3 linked regions of the Callithrix jacchus genome follow. The protein of the gene in region 2 purifies or fractionates together with the protein of the main gene of each other region. This does not show direct contact. Links are inferred from orthologs where the notes say so. Each region holds a gene or a part of one and is shown on either strand. Other genes may lie near its edges. The genes, in order: MGRN1, ANKRD46 and ATRN.

Region 1 (3,646 bases), on a different chromosome or scaffold from region 2:
GACCAAGGGGTTAGATGACTTGAGCCCAGGATTTCAAAGTAGTGTGGGAAACATAGTGAGACCCCTCTACAAAAGTTTAAAAACTGGCTTGAGCTTGGTGGCTTACACCTGTGGTCCCAGCTCCTAAGAGGGCTGAGGTGGGAGGATTGCCTGAGCTGGGGAGGTCCAGGCCCACTCCAGCCTGAGTCCTTGTCTCAAAAACAGAAAATATACACATGCAAACACACACGTACACACACACACACACACACACACACACACGCACAGGAGAGAGAGAGAGAGGACAGCTCCAGGAGTACCACCAAAAAGTAGGCAGGCAGACTGGGGACCCTCTGCCTTCCCGAAGGGTCTGGGCGCACATGCCGCCTGCAGCTCTGGTCTGCTGAGGGGGCTGCTGGTGTTCTCTGAGGCCGGGGCTCCCACACAGGACCACAGCCATCGTCGGGCAAGGCCCATGTGGCCCGCTGGGAAGTGCCCAGCCGGGGTCCAGGCTCCCAGAGGCCCTTTCCCCTGGGCGGACTTGAGCTGGGCCCAGGAGCTTTGCTTGTTTTGACTGCACTCTGCGTTCTCACGCATCTGTCGTCTTGAGCCCAGTGCGTCCCTCTGTGGACCCCTCTCCTGACCTGTCATACCCCTTGACTGAAACGCCACCTGCACCTTTTAGAGGGCCCCGGCCTGCGTGTCGGGGGATGGTGCCGTTCGAATGTTACGGCTCAGGTCAAGCTTCCAGAGGTGGGGAGCGCAGGTGTGGTCTGGAACAGGCTCACAGCCTCTGAGCTCTGGTATTGCTGCAGGCCGAAGCCCCTGAGGAAGATAGCCATCCTTCACCTGAGAGCGGGGCCGGGCCCTGTCTGCTGGGAGCCATGGGTCAGGGCTGGTGGCTGGATGTTGGGCAGCCCTGAGGCCGTGCTGGCCCCGTCCCAGGCTCAGCACCAGCACTGTTACCCAAGCCCCGGGGAAGCCAGACCCATCTGGGGACAGCACCTGGCAGCGGTGTAGAAGCCATAGTCCAAGCGTCGGGGCTCTGTGGGAGGCTCCTCTCTGCCTCACAGAAGCCACCATGGGGCCACTCTGAGCTTGGGATCGTTCTCGCTCGGGGCTGCTCCCTGCCCCTCCACCCCAGGGTGACTGAGTTCTAGCCTAACCTAGCCATAAGGACCTTAGCAGGACAGTGGGTGGTCACATCCCAGGAAACTGGGACCAGGGGGAGGGCAGGAGACCCAGAGGACAGAAGCCACAGCGCCACGTCGTGTTCTGACTCGGGGCTGCAGCTCTGCTGCCAGTGTCTGGGGGTGCAGGGTGATGTGCCCGGTGTCCTGGGATGAGGGGTGATCTGCCTGAGAGGGACACACCGTGCTTGGCAGGGCTGGAGAGGCCCCATCTGTTCTGGCCACAGACAGGTGGCGGGAGTGGGGGTGCGGGGTGGCCCACCCCTGTGTGGCTCCAGGTTGGTAGGAGTGGGTGGCACCAAGCAGCTGAGTGTGACCCACCTCCCTCCCCCTCTGCTCCTGCCTGCAGGATGGCCCACCTCCATGGAAATGGCCCACAGCCTTGGCACCACCAGCCCCACCTGGCCTCCTCTTGGTGGCCCCAGCCCTGATCCCAGCACCGCCGAGCTGACCTCACTCTGAGAGCCTGGCCAAGCTGGCAGCATGGAGCCCTCAGCTCCCTAGACTTTGCCAAGGGGCTGCCCCAGACCCCGGTGTGACTCGGCCTCTCCTGTCTGCATGCCCCCTGTGGCCACCAGGCTCCAAGGGGCTGTGGTGACCCCTGATGAAAGAGCACAGTGGACTGTCCCCCAAGTCCCCCTTTTCTATGGTTGATATATTTGTAACTGGTACAAGATGAAGGACAGCAGCTTTCCATCCCAAGTTCAGCGCCTGGGTTCCCCAGGGTCTGGTGGGCCGAGCATCTGGGGCTGGGGCTGCCCACATGTGGCTTTTGCTGGCTGCACCGGGTCCCTCAGCAGTGCAGTTGCTGCCCAGAGAACTCAGCAGACCTGCACAAGAGAATTTATTGGTGGGTGAAGCACTATCTTCACAGATGTTCGGGGGCAGTGGGGGCTCGAGGCACGGTCAGTGAAGGAAACGGTGCCTGTCCGCCCAGCCCACCGGTGTTACCACGGCAGCCTGGCTGTTGCTGCCTTCTGTCCTCTGCCGTGTTTGTGCAGCCTCCATGCCCTCCCTGGTGTGTCTCTGCTGGCGCCTTCAGTGCTCAGAGCTTTGGGGTGCACTGCTGTCGCTCTGGGCAGCTGAAGCATCTCAGCCTAGCACTGGACCTGACTGAGGGGCCAAGGCACAGCCGCTTCCAGCAGCCATCATCCAGCAGCCTTGTTACCAAGCCCTGCACCTTCTCACCGTGCTGGCTTTGGTGACCTCACCAGGCCCCTCCAGTTGCAGGGCCATCCGTTCAGCAGGGCCCTGTCAAGAAGGACCATTCCCTTTTGTCATTGGAATGTCCCCTGCGGTTCTCTTTTTTTTGAGATGGAGTTTCACTCTTGTTGCCCAGGCTGGAGTACAGTGGCATGGTTTCGCTCACTGTAACCTCCACCTCCCAGGTTCAAGTGGTTGTCCTGCCTCAGCCTCCCGAGTAGCTGGGATTATAGGTGCATGCCACCAACCCTGGCTAATTTTTTTGTATTTTTAGTAGAGACAGGGTTTCACCATGTCGGTCTGGCTGGTCCCGAACTCCTGACCTCAGGTGATCCACCCACCTCGCAAAGTGCTGGGATTACAGGCATGATCCGCTGCGCCCGGCCCCCTTGTGGTTCTCTTTGATTTGATGTGTCAGGCTCCCTCGGTGAGACCCACCCGGGGAGGAGGGAGCCAGCAGCCCACCTGGTAAGTGAGGTCACAGCCTGGAGGCTTGGCCTCTGGGCGACGTTGTCCTGTTTTTATTAAGGTAAACATCCTGGGCAGCAGACAGGTGAAGGGGGTATCTGGCCTTGGTGACCCAGGACTTGAGCCACCCCAGCAGGGCCCTGGGCCGGGAAGGTATGTGTGGGTCTTCTGGCCCGGGGGCGGGGAGGTTGCCCTGCAGCTGGGCTTGGGGATCAGATGGCTGTGGGGCAGCTCACAGCCCTCCCTGAGGTTCAGGGTGGCCTTGAGTACAAGCTCTGCTTCCTGGGCGCTCAGGGGGGACCCAGCAGTGGTCCCTGCACCCAGCTCCCTGCACACCCAGGCCAGTCCCCTCCTGCCCTTGTGCACATGCTCTCACATTCACACACATGCTTATGCACAGTCACTTGCACATGCTCATACACACATGCTCCCACGTTCACGCACACATGCTCAGGCATATTTGCACACACTCATACGCATACACACATGCTCCCACACACGTGCACGCATACACATACCCATACGCATATGCTCCCACGTGTGTGTGCACTTGGCCCAGGCATCTCCCCAACGCACCTCCCCCCACACACCTCCCCCCAACCCCACCTCTCCTCCCGCTCTGCCAAGGCCCCAGCCTGTGGCCGTCGGTCCTGGTGCCAGGGCTCTCCGTGAAGTTCAGGCTGCAGAATGGCCCGCTGGGACTCCTATGTGCTGCCATTTGATGTGCTCAGATGGGCCCATTTGTTTTTACTGTATATTTATAGTAATAAAATCACGCAGCAATATACTGTCTGTTCCTTCCTCTG
Region 2 (4,138 bases):
CCAATATGACAATAGTCCTAAACCTTTACACGACATTTTCAAGAACAAACTATTAGACAGTAGATGGTTTTTGAATGAATGGATTATGAGACACCCTAAAGCAGGGGTATCCAATCTTTTGGCTTCCCTGGGCCACACTGGAAGAATTTTATGTATACTACTAACATCAACAATTGTTGATATTAGTATATTTTATGTGTGGCCCAGGTTTGTTTTTTTTTTTTTTTTTTTTTCAAAAAATAAAAATAAAACCTGCAAAATCTCATAATGTTTTAAGAAAGTTTATGAGTTTGTGTTGGGCTGCATTTTAAACTATCTTGGCTGCATGCAGCCTGCAGGTGTGGGCCGTGGGTTGGACAAGCTTGCTGTAGAGCCTGGCTTGGTTGGATGAGGGTGCTATAATTCAGAGGATGGTCAGTGTGCAGGGGGAGTTGTCTTGGCTGTAGGATTGGAGTTGGTAAACTGAAGAAAAAGAAACTAGTTTTGCATGAAAGAATGTTTTCAGTACATGAATGTCCCAGATGTCCCAGCACTCTTTTAGTCTTGGCTGCACGTGTTGCAATAAGTCAAGGAACCCTACAAAGTAGGATGGAAAGATTGAAAGTGTGAATGACTTGAACCCGGGAGGTGGGGATTGCAGTGAGCTGAGATTTCGCCACTGCACTCCAGCCTGGGCGACAGAGCAAGACTCCGTCTCAAATAAAAAAAAAAAAATTCAAACTGCTTTTGAAAAAAACCAAAAATGCAGGATTATATTTTAGAATTAGAGCAGCCAGCCATTAGTGGCTATTCCTAATACGTCCATCTGGGGTCTACAGAAGCTCTACCTAGCGGCAAGCAACTATTAATTCACGTTTATAGCACCTAATAAAATTCCCTTTGCCTTTGAAGTCCCCATTTAGCTAAGGGGATGAGATGTGAATTTAGAACAGGACGAGAAAAGTGCAAAATGCTCCCGGACTCAGATCAGATAAACCTCTTCTAGGATGGCTTCCTCTTGGGAAGCCACAAGTTTTGATGCTTTCCCGAATTCAGAGCAGGCACTCCCAGAATCTCTGACTCAGCAGGCCAAGCCACCGTGCGGACCGCCCATCTGCAGGGGGCGCTCCGGGGCCGCGGCGCCAGGCCGCTCTGGCCCAGCGGGGACTCTGCCTGCCCCTGGCCGGCCCCTCCCCTCCCTCCGCCCGTCACCGCCGCGGAGCAGCTGCCGCAGTCTCTGCTGCTCGTTCGAGTCGCAGGTACCTGACCTCGGGCCCGTGGGCAGCGCCAGGGCGAGAGCCACTCGATACCTCCCGCAACGTCCCTGTAGGACCGGAGATCCAGTCGGCCTGGCCGAGGGTCCTGAGGGGAGAGGGTGCCCGGGCTCCCGGCACCTCCGCGGCCAGCGGAGGGAGGCGGGCCCAGGAAGCGAGCGCGGATTGGTGAGCGCGTCTCTGCGGTCTGTGTGCTCCTGAGGCCGGGAGAGGCCCGCGAGGCTGCTCGTTTGCGCATGCGGGGTGTGGCTGTGGTCCTGGGAGCCCCGGGGTGGCGCTGGCTCGCGGTTAATCCGGCGGTGGGTGAGTGCGGAAGCCCCGCCGCGGGTCCAGCTGCCCGGCCGGGGCGAGACGGTGCCCTCGCGGCGTGGGCTTGGAGGAGCGCAGCGTCCAGGGCGCCGGGACAAGCTGTTGGGGTGGGACTGAGCTGTCCCGGGTGCCAGTGTTAGAAGGCGGCATTTGCACACCTTCCGCTTAGGGCTCAGCTCATCGGAAACGTCCTCTCTTATTTGACGTGCAGTGCTAAGAAGCAGATCGTTCTCTCTCAGGTTTTCCTAAAGCTCAAGAGAAAAGCATTTGTTTTTTTAAAACGTTCCACGGTATTCGGGGTTGGCGACAGAACATCGTAAAGTAAAAATATGCCATTGAATAGTAACACTTCTCACCCTTTAAAAAATGACAGTGGTACCTAGGAGGTTCTTAAAGAGCTGTAATATGAGTGGTGTGGGGATTATTTTTATGTTCTAGTAATAGCTGTTTTCTTTTCGTTCTCTTTTTTTTTTTTTTTAAACATACGGTGTCTCGCTCTGTCGCCAGGCTGGAGTGCAATGGCGCCATCTCGGCTCACTGCACCCTCTGCCTCCTGGGTTCAAGCGATTCTTCTGCCTCAGCCTCCCGAGCAGCTGGGACCACAGGCGCCCACCATGCCCAGTTAAAATTTGTATTTTTAGTAGAGACGGGGGTTTCACCATGTTGGCCAGGATGGTCTCGATCTCTTGACCTCATGATCCGCCCGCCTCAGCCTCCCAAACTGCGGGGATTACAGGTGTGAGCCACCGCACCCGGCCAGTAATAGCTGTTTTCAGTGGTTATTTTATGTCAGACGTGATGCCATTGCTTTTAATACCTGGCACCTTTATTTAATCCTTGGAGCAACCCTATCAGATGCCATTTCCATTATACAGATAAGGAAACTGAGCCGCCGAGGGTCTGACTTGTCCAAGGTCAGACAGCTAGCAAAGGGTGAGCGAGATTTCGCCTCCTCTCCCTTACTTCAGTATCCCAGCTTCTGTTATCTAGCCAAACGTGTAGTGCTAAGAGTTTTGTTTATCAATTAGACGTGTAGCCAAAACTGATTTTCCTCTGGCTTAGTTTTCATGGCCATATGCAGAAGTCCTATATGAAACTAATTTAAAAGGAGTTTCATAAGAAAAATGTTAGCGCATTAAGGACTATGGTGATAATAAAGTTAGACTTGGACTGGGGTTCTCAATATGCCAGTATGATTTTGATTTGAATAGAGATGGATTTATTTGATTGTGAACACACTTAATTACTTTTCTTCATTATTTATGTTTCCATACATTTTTAGTGAGTTCACTTTGCCTTTGCAATATTATGATAGCAGGACCAGAGGGAAATCAAAGATTTTTCGATGATAGCAAGTTAATATTTTACAGAATATAGGAAAGGCATTGGAGGCTGTGAAGCGATGAGGAATTTTTGGCATGTTATTTAGAGCAAATTGTGTTACTTTGGAAAATAAAGGTTTCTCACAGTTCTTTGTCAAAAGGGGAAATTGTATTTCCCGTTGTGGAAAGAAGTTGGGTTTTGTAGTCCCAGACTTCTTAACCTTGTCTATTATAGATTTAAGAATTTGCATATTCAGCATTCACATAGCAGGCGTATGTTTAGTGCCTTCCATGGCCAGGCTCTGTTGTGAGCACTGGGGTTACGAGAGTAGACAAAATGAAGTCCTTGTCTTCCAGGAGCTAAAGTGTCACTGGAAGAAGGTGGGGGTGGGAATAATAAGCGACATTTGTGAAAGTTAACCTATCTCCAGTCAGATGGTAACAGTTGCTAAGAAGAAAAATAAAGTAACAAAGGGGGATAGGAAGCACCAAGAAAGGGACAGGTGCAGTCTGGTGCCATGGAAAAGACTCGAGCAAAACTGAAGGCGTCAGAGACTGCCATGCAGCTGTCTAGGGAAAGAGCACACCAAGCAAGGGCAAAAACCCAGAATCCGTGAGTCTTGTTGGAGGAACAGCAAAGGGGCCAGTGGCTTTGAGCACCTGGAGGGAAGGAGGATGAGACAAGGTCAGAGAGCTAATGGGCCCAGGTAAGGACTTTCGCTTTGACTCTGAGTGAGAAGGGAGGTGGTTGGAGGGTTTTGAGCAGAGGAGTGAGGGGATCTGGATTCAGGTTTTCAAAAGATCACTTCAGTTGCTGTGTTCAGAGTGACTGTAAGGGCAAGGATGGAAACAAGGAGACCTGTTAGGTTGATGCAGTAGTTGAAGCCAGAGAGAATGGTGGCTTAGACCAGGTGGGTAGTAAGAGAGGCAGTAAGAAGCCTTCGTATTTTGAGTACTGCTGATAGGATTTGTTGATGGTTTGGATGTGCTTGTGAGAGAAAGGCTGTTGGAAGGCTTTTGTTACAGTGTACCGAGATGGAGAAGACTGAATGTGAAGGTGGGTGGAGCCATTTTAGTCAGGTTTGAGATGCCTCTTCAAGTGGGGTTATAGAGACTGGAGTTGAGGAGAAAGGTCCAGCTGGAAAGAGAAATTTGGGAGTCACTAATGCAAGCTTGTTCAACTCAAATTTGTAAACGTTTTGAAAACATTATGAGATTGTTTGCATTTTTGTTTTTAAGCTCATCAGCTGTTGT
Region 3 (3,646 bases), on a different chromosome or scaffold from region 2:
GACCCTGTCTCTTAAAAAAACAAAAAAGTATAGCTTGCAATTGTTATCTAAGTCTCTGGTAAATTTCTTCTCTCCCTTTTTCCTCTTAGCACCATGTTTGTGTTTGGTGGTTTCAATAGTCTCCTCCTCAGTGACATCCTGGTATTCACCTTGGAACAGTGTGATGCACACCGGAGTGAAGCCGCTTGTTTAGCAGCAGGACCTGGTATCCGGTGTGTGTGGGACACAGGGTCGTCTCAGTGTATCTCATGGGAGCTGGCAACTGATGAACAAGAGGAAAAGTTAAAATCAGAATGTTTTAACAAAAGAAGTATGTTTTTTTCCTCTATTTAGATTTTAATTAATTTGAGACCTCATTTTATCTGAATTATGAAGGAACTTAGCATTTGTACACTTTTTGTGTTCTCCTTATTATCCAAAATTATTCAGTGATAACTTGTACAAAGCATTGCTGGATATTTGAAAATTGGTTTGTAAACATCTCGGATGGGAACATGCCATATGGCTCCTAGAAGGTCTGTGAATGATGAAGACATAACCTTCTTGGCATTGCATAGGCTTTGCCTACTGACTCCAGATCCTGGCTGCAGTTGCTCTGAGGCAGTGCCATCTGGCAGAACTTTGTTTTTGATGATGGAAATGTTCTGTGTCTGGACTATCCCAATATTGTAGCCGCTATCCACATGGGGTATCAAATACTCGAAATGTAGCTAGTGTGACTGAATAACTGAATTTTTAATTTAATTTTAATTTAAAAAACATTTGTGACTACTGGCTACTATCTTGGATACAGATCTATCATTAAGGATGAAATCAGGAGAGTCAGCCCAGAAAAGCCATGTTGAAGTAAATTGTTTTGGTAGAGAGAAGGAGAGCTGCTGTCCTTGCAGAGTATTTTTGTCTAGCTTCTCTAGTTGGATACATATCAAGACAGACAGTTACTGAGGATGGGCAGTGATCTCTCTTCTAGAACCTCCCCTCATGGTTTCCAAGCTGGTTTCTTCCTTCTGCCTGCTTTGTTTCCTGTCCTATATTGCTGACACATAGAGAACAATACAATACAGTGAAGTGATGTATAAAAAAGTTCTATTTTATTTTATTTTGAGACAGAATCTCACTCTGTCGCTCAGGCTGGAGTACAGCAGTACAATCTCAGCTCACTACAACCTCTGCCTCCCAGATTCAAGTGATTCTCATGCCTCAGCCTGTAATCCCTGAATAGCTGAGATTACAGTCACCTGCCACCAAACCCAGCTAATTTTTGTATTTTTAATAGAGACGGGAGTTTCACCATGTTGGCCAGGCTGGTCTTGAACTCATGACCTCAGGTGATCCGCCCACCTCGGCCTCCCAAAGTGTTGAGATTACAGGTGTGAGCTATTGTGCATGGCCAGAAAATTCTTTAAAAGTAAGAATGTTTTCTCTGTAAGATATTTATTTACACCAATTAATTTAAAATATGTTGGCTGAATTTCTTATTAGTAGAATTGGTGTTGCAGTTAACTTGAGAGTTATGATGCGTAGAAGCAGCTTTCATTCCTGTGCCCAAATTAGCCTTGCATTTATAACTAGGTCTCCTACAATATTTTGGCTCCTGGGCGGTTTTGATGTTCATTATATTACTAGTTGATTTTTTTTTTTTTTTTTTGGAACGAAAAGTATTCAAAGAACCAGAATTTACTTTTATTATATCTTATAGTTGTTAAATCAACCTATTCTTGTTTTTACTTTCTGTGTACTTCTTTTTTTTTGGGTCAAAACTATTTCTTTAGATCGTCTATTTCTAAATATTATTTTTAACCAGAACATACCAAATATATTTTTCTGCTAATTTCACTCTTCATTTTACTTCTTAATGATTGTTACAATTTTTTTTAACTTCCAGTCTCTGGTTGTGCTCAACTGAAGCTGTCCACGTTGATGAGGTTTTCTTTTCTTTATAGCTCTTGACCATGACAGATGTGACCAGCACACAGATTGTTACAGCTGCACAGCCAACACCAATGACTGCCACTGGTGCAATGACCATTGTGTCCCAAGGAACCACAGCTGCACAGAAGGCCAGGTCAGAGACTGTTTCTTAAAGATTTCAGAGAAATCCTAATGTGTCATAGGTTCAGCTTTTATAGTGTATGTGATATAAATAATGGCTCAGAGTTATTTTTCAAACAGGTTTAGATTTGGATTTTATTATCCCTGAGTTTTTCCTTTAGGAAGAGATGCTCTATACATCTTAATTCCAAGGGTCCTACTAGCCCTGGGGATTTGTGTGTTTTAGAAGAAGGTAAGACTGTTGTCCCTGGGCATGGCCGTGATTAAGTACTGGATCCTTGATTCGAGGCATCTAATAGTGACCTCACTTTATCAGTGCTAGGTTTTGGTAGCAAGTGTGGGCTTGAGACTGAGAGTGAGTCAGAGATATAGCGGCCCATATTGAACTGTGGAAATGACAGACTGCAGAATCTCCTTGTCATATCTTGGTTTGGCATAACTTCACTGCCTATCCTATATAGATTTTTTAATTGAAGTTATAAGATGACCCAGGCTTTTATAGTTTTTGACAGCTTTCAAGACTTTTTCTGTCAATCTCCTGCAGTTCTTAAAATAGAAAACTTTCAGACTTTTGAAGGGAGCATTTGAAAATAGCAAGTTCAACATTCCCATTTTACAGATGACCAGGTTGAGGTATGGTATTTAAAAGAGTGAGCTGCGTCCTTGCCAGTTAAAAACATGTCCTTGAGCAGAACATTCCATTGCACTATTCCTACTGCAGAGCTGCTGCATCTTATTTGCTTACTTATTTATTTATCTATCTCTCTATTTATTTGCGGTTTGCTTCCTCAATTAGATTTTGTTGTCTATAGTATCCTGTTGGTCCTCACTGTAAGTTCTCTCCGTGGATACAAGAGAAAAGCTTTTGTCCACTGTGTTTTAGATCTCCATTTCCAGGTATGAGAATTGCCCCAAGGATAACCCCATGTACTACTGTAACAAGAAGACCAGCTGCAGGAGCTGTGCCCTGGACCAGAACTGCCAGTGGGAGCCCCGGAATCAGGAGTGCATTGCCCTGCCTGGTAGGCCTTGCAGGGTCATCTTGGTGTGTGTGGGTCCAAGACTTCACCCCACTTCCCCCAACACTATGCAGCCTAGGTTGAACCTAGCAAAGGGGAAAAGCTAGTTCTGTGCATTCATCCCCCACACCAGTACGATGAGGTTTTTTGTTTTTAACTAAAATGCACTTCTTAAGTATTTGCTCCTATTGTCCTTTGAAATAAAGTGAAACATCCTTCACTGCTCTGGAGAATTGAGTGACAGCTTGGTTTTGTATCACTGAGCTGGCTCCTTTCCTCTTCCTCATCCACCTTTGATAACCTGGGACTAGAACACAATGTCTCAGCAGCCAGTCTGCTGAGCACTTTATGGAGAGTACTTCTTATTAACCACTTGGATTTGGTTGTTGGCACCTGCTCATGGGCCTCCTCTCAGAAGGACAGAATAGATACTTCCATCAGCAGCACCTTCTTGGGGTATCTCCAGCCCTGAAAACCTCAACACATGCTACTTCTGAGGTTCAGGATAATGAGTTCAGGGCCTGAGACCAGCCAGCCGTGACCAAACCACTGTGATATATTTGTTCAACCGGGAT

The links.
Region 1: the proteins of ANKRD46 (region 2) and MGRN1 purify together in Homo sapiens (co-immunoprecipitation; 3 studies listed by BioGRID and IntAct, counting the BioPlex papers as one, with this or other methods). This does not show direct contact. The link is inferred for Callithrix jacchus from reciprocal best matches to the Homo sapiens genes ANKRD46 and MGRN1.
Region 3: the proteins of ANKRD46 (region 2) and ATRN purify together in Homo sapiens (co-immunoprecipitation; 3 studies listed by BioGRID and IntAct, with this or other methods). This does not show direct contact. The link is inferred for Callithrix jacchus from reciprocal best matches to the Homo sapiens genes ANKRD46 and ATRN.

What each region holds. Positions count from the first base shown.
Region 1 is NC_133513.1:6,809,917-6,813,562, forward strand, and holds the end of MGRN1 (E3 ubiquitin-protein ligase MGRN1), read left to right. Parts: intron 1-1,518; coding exon 1,519-1,631; 3' UTR 1,632-3,623; downstream 3,624-3,646. UniProt on the Homo sapiens protein: E3 ubiquitin-protein ligase. Mediates monoubiquitination at multiple sites of TSG101 in the presence of UBE2D1, but not of UBE2G1, nor UBE2H. Plays a role in the regulation of endosome-to-lysosome trafficking.
Region 2 is NC_133517.1:96,398,235-96,402,372, forward strand, and holds the start of ANKRD46 (ankyrin repeat domain-containing protein 46), read left to right. Parts: upstream 1-1,211; 5' UTR 1,212-1,238; exon of another isoform or gene 1,239-1,421; intron 1,422-1,487; exon of another isoform or gene 1,488-2,495; intron 2,496-4,123; exon of another isoform or gene 4,124-4,138.
Region 3 is NC_133506.1:11,065,288-11,068,933, forward strand, and holds part of ATRN (attractin), read left to right. Parts: intron 1-89; coding exon 90-310; intron 311-1,943; coding exon 1,944-2,065; intron 2,066-2,935; coding exon 2,936-3,074; intron 3,075-3,646. UniProt on the Homo sapiens protein: Involved in the initial immune cell clustering during inflammatory response and may regulate chemotactic activity of chemokines. May play a role in melanocortin signaling pathways that regulate energy homeostasis and hair color.